Cricetulus griseus: one gene and its partners. The protein of the gene in region 1 interacts with the protein of each later gene in a pairwise test. Links are inferred from orthologs where the notes say so. Each region holds a gene or a part of one and is shown in the gene's direction. Other genes may lie near its edges.

The links.
Region 2: the proteins of Ergic3 (region 1) and apolipoprotein L2-like interact in binary tests that used the Homo sapiens proteins (3 or more experiments, as listed by UniProt). The link is inferred for Cricetulus griseus from reciprocal best matches to the Homo sapiens genes ERGIC3 and APOL2.
Region 3: the proteins of Ergic3 (region 1) and Vamp5 interact in binary tests that used the Homo sapiens proteins (3 or more experiments, as listed by UniProt). The link is inferred for Cricetulus griseus from reciprocal best matches to the Homo sapiens genes ERGIC3 and VAMP5.

What each region holds. Positions count from the first base shown.
Region 1 is NC_048599.1:23,569,441-23,574,875, reverse strand, and holds part of Ergic3 (endoplasmic reticulum-Golgi intermediate compartment protein 3), read left to right. Parts: intron 1-2,779; coding exon 2,780-2,811; intron 2,812-3,932; coding exon 3,933-4,029; intron 4,030-4,108; coding exon 4,109-4,173; intron 4,174-4,791; coding exon 4,792-4,928; intron 4,929-5,003; coding exon 5,004-5,059; intron 5,060-5,280; coding exon 5,281-5,360; 3' UTR 5,361-5,435. UniProt on the Homo sapiens protein: Possible role in transport between endoplasmic reticulum and Golgi. Positively regulates trafficking of the secretory proteins SERPINA1/alpha1-antitrypsin and HP/haptoglobin.
Region 2 is NC_048595.1:374,853,652-374,859,735, reverse strand, and holds the start of apolipoprotein L2-like, read left to right. Parts: upstream 1-2,228; coding exon 2,229-2,259; intron 2,260-3,088; coding exon 3,089-3,215; intron 3,216-5,315; coding exon 5,316-6,084.
Region 3 is NC_048601.1:64,108,986-64,115,208, reverse strand, and holds the start of Vamp5 (vesicle-associated membrane protein 5), read left to right. Parts: upstream 1-2,471; 5' UTR 2,472-2,614; coding exon 2,615-2,617; intron 2,618-6,223. UniProt on the Homo sapiens protein: May participate in trafficking events that are associated with myogenesis, such as myoblast fusion and/or GLUT4 trafficking.

The sequences.
Region 1 (5,435 bases):
TCACGGACTAGAGCAGGGGTTCCCAACCTTCCTAATGCTAGTACCATTTAATACAGTTCCTCGTGTTGTCATGACCCCAACCATAAAGTGATTTTTGTTGCTACTTCATAACTGTAGTTTTGCCACTGTTATGAATTATAATATAAATATCTGTGTTTTCCAGTGGTCTTAGGCGACCCCTGTGAAAGGGTTGCTCAGCCCGTGAGGGGTCACAAACTGCAGGTTGAGAACGCTGGTTTAGAGGATGGCAACAGAACTGGAGACTGGGGGGCGGAGGACAAGACTGAGGAGGCGTGTCCAGGAACTGGTGCGCAGGCTGTCAGATGGCTCATGTACAGGGCTGTGACAAGGGCTGAAGTGACACAGCGGGTCTGGAGAAGACAGTCTAGGCCTTGAGCGTGTGGAAAGAGCAAACTCCAGCCATGGCAGGGGAGCAGAAGCGCTCATGCAGTGTCTCTCCTGGCTTCTTCTCGGGCAGAGGAAGCAAGGTCATTAGCGAAGGCTGTGGAGAAAGGGATGGCATGCTGGAGGCAACAGGGGGACGTCTTTGGTTTCGGGGACAGTGGGTGGAAGTGAGAGCACCTGTGGGATTTTCTGGGGTTTAGTGTTGCTCTGTGCTGCACAGACAAGGGAGTCAAAGAGTATACAAAGAGGCAATCACAGAGCTGGACCATGGGAGGAAAGTGAGGACTCAGGGTTTGGGGGAGGAGTAGACGCCAATGAGGAAGCGGAGAAGCACCAGACTGCCGCAGGCCTTTGGTGTGGTGGCAAAGGATGGTTGGATTTGGGGCACTGCGGGGCCAGGGAAGGAACAGGAGGAAGTTAGCAAGCTGGCAGTTGGAGCATGAGGTGCTTGTGGTTGACACTAGAGAAGGTATAGCTACTGCTAATGTCAGGGTTAGGGAATGGTCACCATGGTGGTCTGGAGTGGGAGAGAAGAGCAGGGAGGCGGGGCTGTCCAGGAACTGGGATGACAGGGTGTTGGAAGGCTCGTGTACATGACTATGGGACTCACCAAAAGCTGAGATTCGGGTGCCATAAAGGATGGGCAGGTAGTTACTAAAACTGTCCTGGGGGTGCCTGGTGGAATTTCATGATTAACAAGTAGGGTGCCTTGAACTGCCTGGGAGCTAAGGACTTTGACTGTAGATCAGGGGACAGTGGTCTGAAAATGGCAGGAAGGAGCTAGAAGGACCTCTCTCTTGACTACAGAGTGGATAGGTATGGGAGACCAAACAGTAGTTGAGACGATGGAATGGAGCTGGTGCCTGGAAGAGAAAGTCAGGCTGCGGGGGAAGCAGAAGAGTGAAGGGCCAAAGTGGAGGCTGAAGATGCTGCTGCTACCTGGTGGGGTGTGGGTGGGGTGAGAATTAGGATCATTTGGGAGATCGCTACCAGCCAAGAGGATTCCAGAGGACAAGCAGGACCTGGTGGTTCTGAGCTGCTCCCAGTGACTAAGGTGGGCGGGCGTGGGGTCCTGTAGTCTCTCATGTAGTCTGTACCTGCAGAGGGGGAAGGCACAAGGAGAGGTAGGTGGCCTGGAGGACCCTGAAGAGCTCTGGAACCCCCACCCACCCCTTTACTCTGGAGGAGGCCGAGTAAAATAGATTTCCTGAGACCATAGGACGACATCGGTGTGTCACTGTGTGAAGCTGTGGACTACAGGCCTTCAGACACTCGGGAGGGGGCTGCTATCACAACAGCATTTCCGCCTGCACCTCTGCTTAGGTCTACCTTCTGGGTCATGGACCCCGGGGCAGCTGACTCTGAGTGCAAGGATGCTCATACACATATGGCTACAGTGGCCCGTGGCCCAAGATCTGCCATTGAGTCCTCAGAGTGCTTTTAACATCCTGTTGGTTGCAGGGTGAACAACACCAGGGGGTATAAGGTCTTGTGAAGTTGACCAAGCATCTGCCCCTCCTAGACCCTCAGGTCAGCCCTTGGCAGACAACACCGGCCAAGTGCTCTGCCCAGGTCACACAGCTGGGGGAGGACTTCGAGGCTCTAGGTCTCATTTTGTTCTTAGGCTGGCTGTTTTTATGCTTCAGCCCTCTTTTATGCCTCTTTGGTCCTGGAAGAGGCCTTTTAGCTAGGGCTAGACCCTCGTGCCAAAGCAGGAGTCTCCATCCTCCCCGCTACTGTGGGTCTTGCTCCATAGATCCCACTGGAGCTCTGAATCTCTGTTCTCTTCTCCCTTCCCCATGCTGCAGTTCATGCTGTGGAGAGTAAGTGGCCCTGCCCCCAAGGATGCCCTCTCCCCACTTCCAAAGCAGCCTGCCCTCCTGGAATGGGGGGAGGTTTGGATGGGTCTGGGATAGAGCCTTCTGACCCTGCCGCTGGGTGACTTACTCCTGGGATGGGCTTTGACATGGGGTTCCTAACAGTGGGCAATTGGGGTTAAGATGGGAAGAAACTGCTGGTTCAAAAATCCCTTTGGGGAATTTTGAGGGTAGAATCAAGGGAGTCCCTATTGATGTTGGGGTACAGTAATTTGTCAGTAACTCTGGTTAGTGAGAGACCTGTCCGTGGGTTTTGTTTCCTGAGATAAAAGCCTGGCCGGGAAATCTGTGTTCTTGTCCACCCCAGTGGGAGGCTGGGAACCCTTTACCCAGGTGCAGGGCAGGCTCTGGCCAGCTGTGCTTAAGCAGGGCCAGCGTATCAGGCTGTGGGTGACTGAGGGGTCAGAGCGTCATATCCCACAGGGAGGAGTACGGCCTGAAAAAAGACTCAGGAACCTGGTCCTGCCTGCCTGGTGACTGTTTTCTTCTTCTCCTAGTTCATGACTTGCAGAGCTTCGGCCTTGACAATGTACGTACCAGGCGGAAACCATGGAGGATGGGTGGCAAGAGACTGGACTCTGCTCATGTCTGAAATGGGGAGAAATCACTCTCCATGTTCTGCTGGTGTTCAGACCCAGGGCAGAGATCGTTGGACGGGTGCACCCTCAACAGAAGGAAGCTCAGAGCAAAGCCAGGACAGAGTGTGGCATTTCTAGGAAGCTGGCAGAGTTGGCAGGGTCGAGGCCTTGGGACTGGAGCCACACTGAGGAGTCTGCCTTTTGAGAAGAGGGGCCACTTTTGCCTCACCTTAACCAGGGGTGTGACATAGTTAGATTTACATTTCTAACTGTCCCTCAAGGAAGCTGCCAGTTGGGGCTTCTGGCTTAGACCTTCATCCCTTGAGGTGTGCAGACAGGACTAGTGTCACCATGTACAATGTGGCTGCTTGAAGCTGTACCTTAAACCCTAGAGCCCAGAAATCTGTGGACTGAGGAGAGATCCCTAAGTGAAAACAAGTGCCTGGTACAGACACTTCTCCTATTAAAGCCATAGCTTCTCCTGTACAGGGCCGCTTCCTTCCTCCCTCTTCCCACCTGCGCTCACAGCCTTGGGGAACACTCTGCTACTCTAGCTGGTTTTGTGTGGGTTGTGTGCTATTGGGCCTCAGACAGATGCTGATGTTGTGTGGGTATGTGCTATCGGGCCTCAGACAGACGCTGGTGTTGTGTGGGTGTGTGCTTTCGGGCCTCAGACAGACACTGGTGTTGTGTGGGTGTGTGCTATCGGGCCTCAGACAGACGCTGGTGTTGTGTGGGTGTGTGCTATCGGGCCTCAGACAGACGCTGGTGTTGTGTGGGTGTGTGCTATCGGGCCTCAGACAGACGCTGGTGTTGTGTGGGTGTGTGCTATCGGGCCTCAGACAGACACTGGTGTTGTGTGGGTTGTGTGCTATTGGGCCTCAGACAGATGCTGATGTTGTGTGGGTGTGTGCTATCGGGCCTCAGACAAACACTGGTGTTATGTGGGTATGTGCTATCGGGCCTCAGACAGACACTGGTGTTGTGTGGGGGTGTGCTATCGGGCCTCAGACAGACGCTGGTGTTGTGTGGGGGTGTGCTATCGGGCCTCAGATGCTGATGTTGCTTACAGATCAACATGACTCACTACATCAAGCACCTGTCATTTGGGGAGGACTATCCAGGCATTGTGAACCCCCTGGACCACACCAATGTCACTGCACCCCAAGGTACCATCCTGGGAGGTAGCCCCCTCTACCGCTAACGCCCTTCCTGGTGCCCATGCCCTGTGCTTGCTTCTCCTCACAGCCTCCATGATGTTTCAGTACTTTGTGAAGGTGGTCCCCACTGTGTACATGAAAGTGGATGGGGAGGTGAGTCGAGTATAGGCGTCCAGTTCAGCTTGTTGTCAAGCTCTCAAAGTCCTGTGTGTCATTACTTTGGCCCGGGGAATGAGGTACTGCTCTCACTCCTGTGTGATGGATGCAGAGCTGAGGCTCCAGGGTACTGATGCCCTCGTGGGAGACACACACTAGACACTATTTGGTCTTCCTGCCTCCCACACTGCCTCCAGACAGTCCTTGGGTGCTTACTGACCCCATTGTCTGTGCTGACCTGGGGGTTGGCTAGGCCAAGCCTCCTTGGGCCTGCTCTGTTCTGTGGTCTGGAACAGCTGTCTTTGGGGTGGTGTGACAGGGCTGAAGGGCAAGGATGTGAGTCCTAGCCTTAGGGTGCTGCCTGCAAGAGTTTCTTCTCTTCCCTGTACTACCAGTGAAAGTATCCATCAGATGTAGCTAGGACAGGCAAAAACTGATAAGATGGTGGACTGGAAGGGAAACAAGGATGGTCCCCAGGCCTTGTGTTGCTAGTTACCAACTGGGAGCTTCATTCTATCTCTTCATATAGTCACAGCCTGACAAGAAGCGGGGCTCAGAACAACCCTGAGCCAGGTTATAAACCTCTCTCTGCTTCTGGTTCCCTTCTTCCTGCAGGTGCTGAGGACAAACCAGTTCTCTGTGACCAGACACGAGAAGGTTGCCAATGGGCTGCTGGGTGACCAGGGCCTGCCAGGAGTCTTTGTACTCTATGAACTCTCACCCATGATGGTGAAGCTAACAGAAAAACACAGGTAAGGAGTGGGAGTGGCGAAGGCTCTGAGCCTGCGAGAGCAGGGTGCCTACTGAGCCCCCCTTGTGCCCTGCAGGTCCTTCACCCACTTCCTGACAGGTGTGTGCGCCATCATTGGAGGCATGTTTACTGGTAAGTCCCAGAGTCCCTGTTTGGGGAGCAGGGTGCCCAGGCTTCCCGTGCTGTGTTTGGGCAGGTGTTCCCCCACTGAGTGGCACCCTCAGCAATGCCCCAGGCTTTGGTTGGGGAAGAGGGGAACCTTAAGGGCCAAGGACAATGCTAGCCTGGCCAGTTAGATGGCAAGGCAGGGTCCACATGAGGGGTCCAGTGCTAGCCCTGGTCTCTCTTCCCAGTGGCTGGACTCATCGACTCGCTCATCTACCACTCTGCTCGGGCCATCCAGAAGAAAATTGATCTAGGGAAGACAACGTAGTCATCATCCTTCCTTGTCATTCTTCCTTTCCTCTGTTCCTGTGATCACTCCTCAGCCTTCACTACCCCATATTCC
Region 2 (6,084 bases), on another chromosome or scaffold:
CTTGCAGGGAGTGAATAATTACAAAAAAGCGTAACAAAGAACAGAGAAGACTTTCTCTGGTTATGAGGGGAAAGAATATTAATGAACCTGCTGAGAACAGATTGAGAGGTTCTAGGAGCTCTGGGGCATCCTCCTTTTGTTGCTTGTTGAGGAACTGGGGTGCTCTGTTGTGGCAGCTGGTCAGTGCCTTGACTGAGCCCCGAAGAGGTGTGAGGAGCTAGGCAAGTCTTGGTTAAATGTACCTGGTGGAACTTTATAATGGCGTGCTGAACCAAATGTGCCTCAGTGAACCTGCAGAGCCGAGAAGGATCAAATCTGAAGATAAAGGTCGCAAAGGAACACTCGGACTGTGAAGGGAGGTGCCATTTCATCTCATGGCGTTACTTGTGGGACATCTCCAGGCCTGTCACTGCTTCTGCCAGGCCTCTCTGAGCCTGGGAAATACCATAAGAAACAGTTCTTACTGAGCACTGGCTTAGGCCATCCCAGTGGAATACAACTGCTTTTAACTTTTAGCTTTCTTTTCTGCCTAGGAAGGAAGTCCGTTTCTTTTTACCTTTTAAAAGTATTTTTTGTTTGTTTGTTTGTTTTTTAGATTTTGTCTTGTTTGTTTTTAGAAATAGGGTCTCATTGTGTAGCCCTGGCTGGCCTGGCATTTGGTGTAGACCAGGTTGGCTTTAAATTTACAGTGATCCACTTGCCTCTGCTTCTAGAGTGCTGGGTCACCACACCAGCCTAGATTTTTCAAGTATCTATATTCATATATGCATATATACATCCACACACACATATATGTGGAAGCCAGAGGACAACTTATAGGAGTCAGCTCCCTCTTTTTACTCTGTGGGACCCGGCATTGAACTCTGTTCCTCAGGCTTAGCTGCAAGCACTCTTGTCTGCTGTACCATCTTGCCAGCCCTCCACATAGCTCTGAGGGAAATATTCTGAAATGCAGGCCAAGTGCTATGCAAGGAGCTCATTCTTTTCACTACTGTTTACACAAAGGGTTGGCTATGATATGAGGTCCAATCGTTAGGGAAGATGGCAGATGGGTTTGGACAGCCCAGAGCAAGTACAGAAACAGAGACGGGATGTGGCAGGATTCTGAGGCTTGATTGGATGCAGGATCCTGCAGAAGCAAGGAATGTGTGGGTGGGCCTTGGGGGAGCCCAGGGGCACTGGTGAATTTGTACCCTGCAGGGCACAGGCATTGCCGTGGATGGGAAGTGCTCACAATAGACTGTACATGGGCAGGAAGGCATCCTGCTGGATGTTTAAGGAACCCGAGGGCAGGGCCCCAGAGGGTGAGATATGGCTCAGAATGGTTTGGGTTCATGGGCTAGCTCTAACATTATTATGAAGACTGGGGATGGGAGCTAACCTCATGGTCTTCCTTCTCCATTACGATGGGGTCACAATGCTTCTCATCTCATGGCACGTGTGTGGTCGTCTAATGAAGTGTATGTCTAGGGAGCCTTGTGTGTCCCAGACAATAAACATCAGTCCCTATCATTAACTCACATATGTGTTACCGCTCTCGGATTGCTGCCAGAGCAACCCTTCTCATCTTATCTTCTGTGTACAAATTCAGTTATCTCCCATAGGTTCGTCATCACCTGATCTTACTAGAGTGGGAGGATGGAGCAGGGGCCTTGGGATGAGCAGTTAGAGCCAGATGACTCGTTGCTTTCTGTGGAACCCATGGAAGAGAAACACTTTTGATAAAGTCTGAGTGTTACGATAAAGCGCAAGGGGAACCTTGGTGGATTCCATGGTGGGGAGGTTGACCGAGGCAGAAGGACAAACATGCCAGGCAGACAGAGCTTAAGTGGAAAGTTTTATTAGAAAGAGGAATTGAGGGGAAAGGAAAGAAAAAAGGTGTAAAGAGACACAGAGACAGAGAGAAGACAGAAGAGAAGAAGGAGACAGAAGAAGTCCTGTCTGTCCCAGGAGAACAGCAAGACAGAGAGCACAAGTGGGCAGGGGTATTTCTTTTAAAGGGGTCCTTTGTACCTGGGCTGACCAGGGTACTGCCTGAGTGCATTCTGCCAGGTTACAGGAGCAGGCAGCATAATGCCTGAATCCTTATACTGATAATTGCCAGACACTGGAAGGGACCTGAGGGGCACAGTCCTTAGTTGCTTGTCTTCTAACAGTTGTTCCCCTTTCATTGCATGGCTAGGTTTTTCCTCCTTGCAGCTTGGACCAGAGACCGTGCAGTTGACACCATGGACCCATCAACCTGCGAGGGCTCCTCAGGTATTACATTTGTCTGGCTTCTTCTCATTTGTGGCCTAGACCCCCATTACTGAGTGTAGAGTATTGTGCCCAAATTCTGAACCCCCAAACCACCAAGAGACCCATTCTGATGCAAAAGCGAAGAGTCTTTTATTATTTAATGAGTTAACTCCATTAATTCAGACCCTCCATCCGTTCTACATGGCAGGTGGAGTGAGAAGGACCCGGATAAACTGTGGGTGGGGGGAGTTTATTGGGCAGCGTATGGGAAGTGTCTAGGGGTATGCAACAGTCTCAGGATTGGTGTGCTTCCAAGCTTGGGCAACCTGTCCTGTGTTGATTGGTTAACTGGTTGCTATGGTCTATAGGCCCTCCCAGAGCAGTTGTTAAGCTCTACATGTCACTGTTAGGCCACTTTTTCCTTAAAGCACATCCAGAGCCCACCAACTAACTTCTGATTGGTTCCTTGCCGCGTGGAGGGTGTCTGACCTCCTAGTGACTAGGGCAGCCCCTGCAAGGTCAGGAGGCTGGAAACTAAGCAACATGTGCTGAGTCAGGGGCCTTTGTCTTGCTGGGTCTTTTCTGCAGCCTGTCATGGCTGCTAAAACAGGGGGCTGGGTGAGGATCTGGTTCCTTCAAGAGAAGTTGAGAACAGAGAAGGGGAGACCCAAGGGGGACTTCAGAAACTCTTCCAATGCCAGTGCCCTTCCTGGGGAATAAAGCCAGGACTCACCTCCTCCCTGTCCTGCCTCCTCAGGTGGACCAGCTCAGGGTGGAAAGCTGACTCTGTGGTTACTGTCACTCAAGCTCTTCCATTCTGTCCTCTAACTTCACTTTCCTTTCCAACTAGGGGGCAGAAACTTCATTGAGGAAGTCACTGAGTACCTCCAGCACAGAGCCAGTAGGGAAGATCTGCGCTTGCTGTTGACTGAAGATGGAGCCTGGAAGGCCTTTGTGGCCGAGGCTGAGTTGTCCAGGTCTCCTGCTGTTAGGCACTTCTTCCCTTTTTTGGTTTCTCTTCCCTGCCTATGGACGGTGCAGCCTCATTCACTATGTGCCTCCCTGACCTAGTGCCCTTGTTCATGTGCTAATTCTCTCCAAAGCATCTTTGATACACCCATAACTGTGCTTTGGGAATGTCCCATTGTCTCTCAGTGAACTTGAGAGCCACCAAAAGGTTGTACCATACACTATCTTCGAGGCTGACCCCAGATCTTTCATTTCAGAGGTCAATGCCTTTAGTCTCCAGTTCCCTGGAGGTCAGAAATGAGACCAAAGCCCCCACCACACACTGCTTGGTTAAACCTGAGCACCCTAAAGAGGACATGCCTGGGAACAGAAGTGGTTTGGATCCTGAATTTTCCTGATTTTAAAATATTTTCAATATGCTACATTGTGGGAATGAGATCCAAGTCTCAAAGCGAAACACACTTCTATACTTTTTATACCTAGTGAACATCTTAATGTTCTATGCTCTTGTTAGCACCCTTGTGTTTGAGTGTGACCGGTCCCCTAAAGACAACTGTGGAGTTTTCCATGCGGCATCATTTGAAGCCTTTCACACTTGGAATGTTCAGACAGAATTGCTCAGTTTGGATGAGTTTCCTGCCAAAGTCCTAGCCAGATGCAGATAGTCTTGGCTGGGAGGACATGACCTGGCCTACTGCTTGTGTTTCAGCAGCTGAGGGCAAAAGGAAGGCATTTCACAACACTAGCAAACATTCTATGAATTAAGGATGACTTATGCTCCAACCTTGCCTCCTTGTGTTCATCAGCACAGTCCCCATTCCCCTCCTCGTCACTTCATCCTCACCCCTGGCATGTGCTGATGGCCACAGTGTTACCCTTGAGTAAGAAAACATCTTTATCAAATGCCTGACACTAAGAACATCTTTTATTTTTTTTGACAAGGTTTGATATATCCCATATTAGCCTTGAACTCAGACATAAGCAAAGATGACCTTGAACTTCTGAACTTCCCGCCTCTGACTCCCAAGTACTGGAATTACTGGCTTGTAACACCATGCCTGATTTTATACAGCGGTAGACACCAAGGCCTCACACATGCTAGGCAAGCTCTTTACCTACTATGCTAGTCCCCAGCCCCTAAAGAACATCTTTTAAAAGGTTTTTAAAACCTTATTTCTACTTTATATGTATGAGTCTTTGCCTGCATGTATATGTGTGTGCCTGGTGCCCACAGAAGCCAGAAGAGGGCATTGGAACCCCTAGAACAGGCATTTGTATGCTCCCATGTGGGTACTAGAATCAAACCTGGGAACTCTGGAAGAGCAAACAGTGCTCTTAGCTGCTCAGTCATCCCTCTAATCTCAAGAGCATCTTAAACAAACAAACAAATTTATTTATTTATTAATTTATTCATTAATTTTTGAGACAAGGTCTTTCTATATAGCTCTGGTTGTCCTAGAATTCACTATGTAGATCAGGCTGACCTCAAACTCACAGAGATCTGCCTATCTCCACCTCCTGAGTGCTGGAATTAAAGGCTAGTGCCACAATGGCTGGCAATTTATTTACGTATGTGCGTGCGTGTGTGCGTGTGCGTGTGCGTGTGCGTGTGCGTGTGTGTGTGTGTGTTTGTGTGAATGTGTACATGCACATACCTGTGGAGGCCACAAAGGATGTCAGATCCTTTGGATTGGAGTTAATAGATGATTGCCAGCCTTTTAACCAAATTCTGAGTGCTGAGATCCAAATTCCAGGCCTGTACAAGTTCAACAAGCAGTCTTAATTGCAGAACCCATTCTCCATTCTCCAAGAGAATCTTAACATGTCTTTTACTAATTATCCTCATTTACAAAGGACAATTTATGATTACCAAGCCTTCACCATCAAAAGAAAGAATCTGTGTGTCTATAAAATCCTTCCTGAGCCACAGAAAGCATGCTGTCATTTGCACAGGTCATGTGTTATGGAGCCTGTAGCAAACCATCTGTTTTATTATTTTATAGCACTGGGCATGGAACCCAGGCCCCATGCATGTTAGACAAGCACTCTACCCTTGACCTAAATCCATAAGTAAACTCTCTCTCTTAATCCCTTGATGCCTGTTACAGAGCTGATGCAGACACATTGCGTGATGCTCTCAATGCCCTCACAGAAAACATGGCTGAGGAAGACAAAGACAAGTTTCAACGTGACTTGCAGGACATGGAGAGTTTTGTGGATATGTTTCCTCAGGTGCAACTGGAACTCGAGGGGCACATTAAGAAGCTCCAGATCCTTGCAGATAAAGTTGACAAGGTTCACAGGGATTGCACCATCTCCAAGGTGGTGGCCAGCTCCACCAGCACTGTTTCTGGAGTCCTCACCCTCCTTGGCCTTACTCTGGTACCTGTGACAGCTGGGGCCAGTCTGGTGCTCTTGGCAACAGGGATGGGATTGGGAGCAGCGGCGGCTGTGACTAGTGTCTCCACTGGTATTGTGGACTACACAAGTGAGTCATCAGCCAAAATGAGAGCCAGCCACCTGGTGGCAACCAGCATGGTCAAAGTGAAGAAAGTTGCAGAAGCTGTGGTTCATTCAGAGCCCCAAGTCTATGAGTTATCTGAGAATTGTTGCCGAGTCCTGCGATGCCTTCAACAGAACATCTATGTCATCAAGCTCACCAAAGCCAACCCTGCATTAGCATCCAGTGCCAAGCACCTCTTGACCATAGGGGGCATCTCTGCCCAAAGAGACAATCAGGTGAAGAAAGCCTATAGGGGCACTGCCCTGGCAATGAGCAGAAGAGACTGGGTCATGAATGTAGCCACCACAGGTGTGTCCCTCACTGGGGATGTGATTGGACTTGTGAAAGAATCCAAGCGTTTGCACAAAGGGGCA
Region 3 (6,223 bases), on another chromosome or scaffold:
TAAATTCACTATATAGTAGCTGGACAGTGATGGCACACACCCTTAATCCCAGCCCTCAGGAGGCAGAGGCAAGGCAGATCTCTGACTTTGAGACCAGCTTGGTCTACAGAGTGAGTTCCAGGACAGCCAGGGCTGTTACACAGAGAAGCCCTGTCTCAAAAAGCCAAAACAAACAAACAAACCAAAACAAAAAAAATCACTATATATCAGACCAGGACTTTGAACTTTTGATCCTTCTGTCCCTGGCTCCCCAGTGCTGGGATTTCAGGCATCTACCAGCAGATCTGGCTTATATAATGCTGGAGATCAAACCCAAAGCTTGCAGCATGAGAGGTAAGCATATGCCCAGCCACAATTAACAATTTAATTTTTTCCTTAATACTTCAGTCTTTTAAAAAAATTACTTTTTCGAGAGGCCAGACCAGCATCCTGAACTCCAGACTGGTGCCTAGCTCAATTGTCATCAGAGAGCCTTCACTCAGCAACTGATGGAAACAGATGCAGAGAACCACAGCCAAACATTAGGCCAAGTTCTGGGAATCCTGCTGAAGAGAGGGAGGAAGGAGCCAGAGGGGTCAAAGGACATCACAAAAAACCTCACAGAAACAACTAACCTGGGTTCATAACTCACAACAACTGAGCTAACAACTGGGGAGCCTGCATGGGACTGACCTAGGCCCTCTGCATGTATGTGACAGTTTAGTAGCTTGATCTTCTTGTGTGACTTGTAACAGTGGGAGCAAGTGCTGTCTCTGACTCCTTCACTGGATTTTGGGTTCCTATTCCCCTTACTGGGTTGCCTTGCCCAGCTTTAATGCAAGGCGAGATGCTTAGTCTTATTACAACTTGGTATGCCATGCGTTGTTGATATCTATGGGAAGCCTGCCCTTTTCTGAATAGAAACAGAAGAGGACTGGATTGACAGGGAGGGGCAAGGGAGCAGAGGGACCAGGAGGATGGAAGGAGGGGAAACTGAGGTCAGGATGTAAAATAAGTAATTATTTATTTATTTTTATTTATTTTGGTTTTCCGAGACAGGGTTTCTCTGTGTAGCTTTGGAGCCTATCCTGGCACTCGCTCTGGAGACCAGGCTGGCCTCGAACTCACAGAGATCCACCTGCCTCTGCCTCCCGAGTGCTGGGATTAACGGCCCAACACCCGGCAGTAATTTTTTTTAAATTACTTTTTCTTTAAATTATTTTTTTTCTTTTATGTGCAGAAATGCATCACTTGAATATGTGACTATGTACCACATTCATGATTGGTGCCCTTGGAGGCTAGAATAGGCATTAGATCCCCTGGAGCTGAATTATAGACAGCAGTGAGCAGAAATGAGGGTGATGAGAATTCAATCTGGGTCCTCTGGAGGAGCAGCCAGTGCTTTTAACTACTCAGCTAGCTCTCCGGTCCCACATTCTAGTCTTTGATTAAGCACTGGGCGATGGGCCAGTGAGATTAAGAAAGAGGACTGTTTGTTGGCTCCTCTTTAATTTTTCCCAGTTATGCAAGAAAAGCTGCAGTATCCTCATCATCACTCTGCTTCAAAATCTCCATCTTTCTGACCGGGGGAGAAGTCCCCATGGCCGGCATCAGGAATCTAAGGGGAAATTGTATGTTCTCAGGCTGGATAATCCCTGTTTGTTTTCCGACTGACTCCTAAACTCACACTATGAGGCTCTTCAGGGCCTGCCATGTAGTTTGTCTGTGTTTTATTCTCTGGGAAAGGGAGTCATTCTTTGCTTGAGTACTGCTCTGGAGGCTGGCTCAAATCTTCTCTTTTTCTTCCTCTGCCTCTTGCTGGTTCAAAACTTGGTCTGGCTGCTGTTGTCATCTTTTATTTCAGGCTGGGATCCATCCCAGCAACTTTAGAGGCTCATGCATCCACACACCACTGAGACTTTTAGCTCACAGGAATGTCGGCAGAATTTTAGCATTTAAAAAATCGCCCCCCCACCTCCTCCCACCCCGGTGTATGGAGGTCAGATAGACAACTTGCAGGAGTTGGTTCTCTCCACAATGTGAGTCCCAGGGATGGAACTCTGATAATGCAATAGATTTGGCTTCAAGTGCCTTTATCCACTGAACCATCTTGCCAGACCTCAATTTGTCTTTTTTAAGTGTACAACTTGGCGACATGTGATGTATTCAGAATACTGCCTGCTCCGTCTGAAAACAACCAGAACTTTGGAGTGGTTGATGTGTTTTCAGTTTTGGGTGGCATGCACTCACCAAGGTGGCAAGCACCCATCCTGGCATGTTCATGACATCCGGAGCACTTAGCACTCACAGATGCTTGTCGTATGACAGAATGACGCCTCCCTCGCTAACTCCTGTTGCAGTCCCAGATCCAAGAGACATCGGTCCCCAATTTACCAGGCTGGGGTGTCATCGGAAATCGGACGCTGGTGGCCCGGTAGGAGGCGCCCCACGGACCCTGTTGCTGCTTTCGGTTTGTCTGGGTCGGGCACCTCTCTGAGAAGGCGCCCCCCCTCCGCCCCCTTGGCCCGCGGGCCCGCCCCGCCCCGCGGCTTCCTCCAGGGCCGCGGGCACTGAGGCCACGCCGGGCAGAGGAGCCGGAGCCGGCAAGCAGGAGGTGGCGGTGGCTGCGGAGGCGATGGTGAGACGGGCAGGGGCAGAGGGCGATTATGCAGGGGTGTGATGTAGGAGCCCGAACCCCAGGGGTGCGGGTCACGCTGGTCGCATGAGCCAGACCCCAACTTTGCAGGCAGCCGGGAAAGGAGAATCAGAGTGCGCCCCGTCGGTGCGGAGTGAGCCGAGCTGCGCTTCCCACGCTCGTGCGGCAGTTAGCAGCTCCCGGCCATCCCGGGCAAGTCACTTAACCTCCATGAGCTTCCTTTTCCGTGCCATAAAGTAGGGGCAGCAATACCTACCTTAGTGGGTCCTTGAGAGGTTAGAGGAGATGTTTATGGTTGCTGCTGCCAGGCACTCAGAACCCTTTGCTAAGAAGTAGCAGGTAATGCGATGACCTCTGCGGGCTCTTCCCCGGGGGCTGAGAGAAGCCAGAGCTGGCCCAAGGGTTGGAAACCTGAGTAGATGCCTAGTGGAGGCCTCTCTAGGCTGGGTGCTGAAAGATAAACACTTTCCCCGGGGAAAGAGAAAATAAGTTGTTTACTATAAAAGTTTCATGAAATTATCAGTGTGACACAGGCTGACTCTTTCCTAACCTCTACCTAATGACATAATCCTGGCTTGAGTCACCTATACTCCTGCTGCAGACCTGCCATTTCTAAGGCAAAGGTGTCTGAGACCTCTGATGCCAGGATCCCCCTCCCCTGGGACTCCTGGGGAGATGGACCAGACTGAAAGCAAGTTTAGTACTCTAAGGCTGGATGGATGTGGCTTGGCTAGAGATGCCAATGTCTGGATGGCTTCATCTCTAGGGAACTAGAGGCAGGAAAGGGAAATGGGACAGGAAGGTAGCCCTAAGCTGTGAGGCCACACCAGGAAACTGAGGGAGGCTCTGAGAATGGGCTGGAGTTAAGAGCCCACTTCCGAGAGTGCAGGGTAAGAGCTGGGAGGAGATAGGGGGTGGACTTCCAGCTGGCCCTCAGCTCCTGGGGAGAAGTTCTGAAATGAAGGCGAGCTAGGCTAGTTATCTGACTGTACAGAACCTTGGGATGCTCACAGGTGCATTCCAGTCAAAGGGGGTTCCGAGCCTGGGGGATACATTGTTCCTCCAGCTCCATCAGCTAACTCTTCCTCCCTTCTTGTCCCCTTTTCTATCTCCAGCTCTTTCCCTTCCGTCATCCACCCCTCTGACTACCTAATTACTCCCACCCCTTTCCCCTTCCTTCTCTTCTCTGTGACTCATTGGGACAAAAAGGACACAGCATTTCTTTTGTGCCACTAGCACAGGACAAAGCAGTGATAGGGAAGATGGAAAGTGAGCAATCATTTTTGGCACGTGTACACGTGTTCTGTGCATGCTTATTCACATGTGTGGGCACACACATGTTTAGGTGCACATGGAAGTCCGAGGTTGATGTCCAGTGTCTTATTTAATAGCTCTCGGATTTATTTATGGAGACAGGGTCTCTGGCTGAACCTGGAGCTCACCAGCTTGTCTAGTCTAGCTGACCAGCTAGTCCTTGGGAGCCCCTGTTTTTGGCATCTTGAGCACTAGGATAACAAACAAACTGCTTGGATTTTGTGTGGGTGCTCAGGATTCAAATTCTGGTTCTCATGCTAGTGCAGTGGGAGCTTTATTTATGGAGCCATCTCCCTAGCACCATATATCGTTTTTTTAAAAAGATTTTATTGTGCTAGGTGGTGGTGGAGCATACCTTTAATCCCAGCACTCCAGAGGCAGAGGCAGGCAGATCTCTGTGAGTTCGAGGCCAGCCTGGGCTACAGAATGAGTGCCAGGACAGGCTCCAAAGCTACAAAGAAACAAGAAACCCTGTCTCGAAAAACAAAAAAAGCAACCAAAGATTTTATTGTATGTGTATGAATGTTTGCTCACATGTATGAATGTGCACCATGTACGTGAGTGCCTATGGAATCCAGAAGAGGGTGTTAGATCACCTCATACTGTAATTGTAGATGGCTGTGAGCTGGGAACTGAACCTAGGTCCTGTGGAAAAACAGCAAGTACTCTTAACCACTAAGCCATCTCTCCAGCCCCACTATAAATACTTTTAAAAATTACTATCTTGCTTGTTTGTTTTTTGGGAGACAACATCTTATAAAGCTGAGCCACCATGCCTGATTGGAATGAACTCTTTTGCTATAAAGCCCTTAAACTGCCTGTATAGACAAAGCTGTCCTTGAAGTTGCAGCAATGCTCTTGCTTCTACCTCCCAAGTGCTGGGATTACAATTATCTGACACCATGGACAGCTATAGAATAATTCTTTTTTGTTTTTGTTTTTTCTTGAGACAAGATCCCACTCTGTAGACTCAGCTGGCCTTGAACTCAGCCTACTGAGTTTTGGAATTAAATAGGTCCACAACTATGCTTAGCTGAAAATAATTCTTGAAGCCATTCATCTGGCAGAATTGGTGTGTGTAGTCGCAAGCTGAGTTGGCAGCATCAAGTGGCTGGCAGTCTTCAGCCAATCAGCTGGAGCTTCATACTCCCCTCTCTCTCCATATCTGGTTTAGCACAGGGTTTAGACTTGTGGCCCCTGGGTCTCTGACCATTCTACCCTCAGATTGGTTACCTACTGGCTCTGGACAACTTAACACCTCTGGGCTGTAAAACAGGGACAATAATATTGTCTTGAGTGGGTTCTTATGAAGATTTAGCCAGATGCCCACATGCACAGCTAGCTCAGTGCTGGGCAAGTTATGTGCTCACTGAAAGGTGGCTGTAACTATTGCTCAGGACTTAAGGCCTGTAATTCCAAAACTTGGGGGCAGAGACAGGAGGACCCCCAAGTCTCAGGCCAGGCTGGACAGTTTATTGAAAGTCTCTTGCATGTCTTTTTTTTATTATTTAAATTTCTGAAAGGGCTGCAATGTGTGACATCCTTGGTTCAATTTCCAGTACCACACAAATAAACAAAGATCTCAATAGCCTGTAGCACCTGATGAAAAGAAAAGAATGCAGATACTGGGTCTAGAGCAGGGGTTCTCAAAGATCCACAGAAGTTTCCTCACTTAGATAAGAAGCAAATCAATGCATAAGTGTGCAACAGGGAAGACCTTGGCTGGTTGTGCATCTTGTAAGCAAAGAAAGACAACAAAAAGGCAGCTGTCTTGAGGAATCTACACCCACTCCTAAGATGTCCTTACTAAGGCCCCCAACATTTTTTCATAAGAGGGGGTGGTGTTGGCTGGAATGGGGACTCAGCAGTTAAGAGTATTTGTTTTTCTTCCAGGGACCTGGTTTAAATTCCCAGCACCCAGATTAAATTCACAACCACCCCTCTGTAGATCCAAGTTCCAAGGAACCTAATTCCCTCAGGCATGCACAAGAGCACATACAAACAAGCAGCCAAAATACTCACAGATTAAAAATAAAATAGGGGCTGGAGAGATGGCTCATAACCAACCATTATGAGATCTGGTGTCCTCTTCTGGTATGCAGATATACATGGAAGCAGAATGTTGTATACATAATAAATAAAATCTTTAAAAAAATAAAAATAGGCCGGGCGTTGGTTGAAAAAAACCAAAAAAAAAATAATAATAATAAATAAAAAATAAAAACATTTTTTTTTTGTTTTTTTTCGAGACAGGGTTTCTCTGTGGCTTTGGAG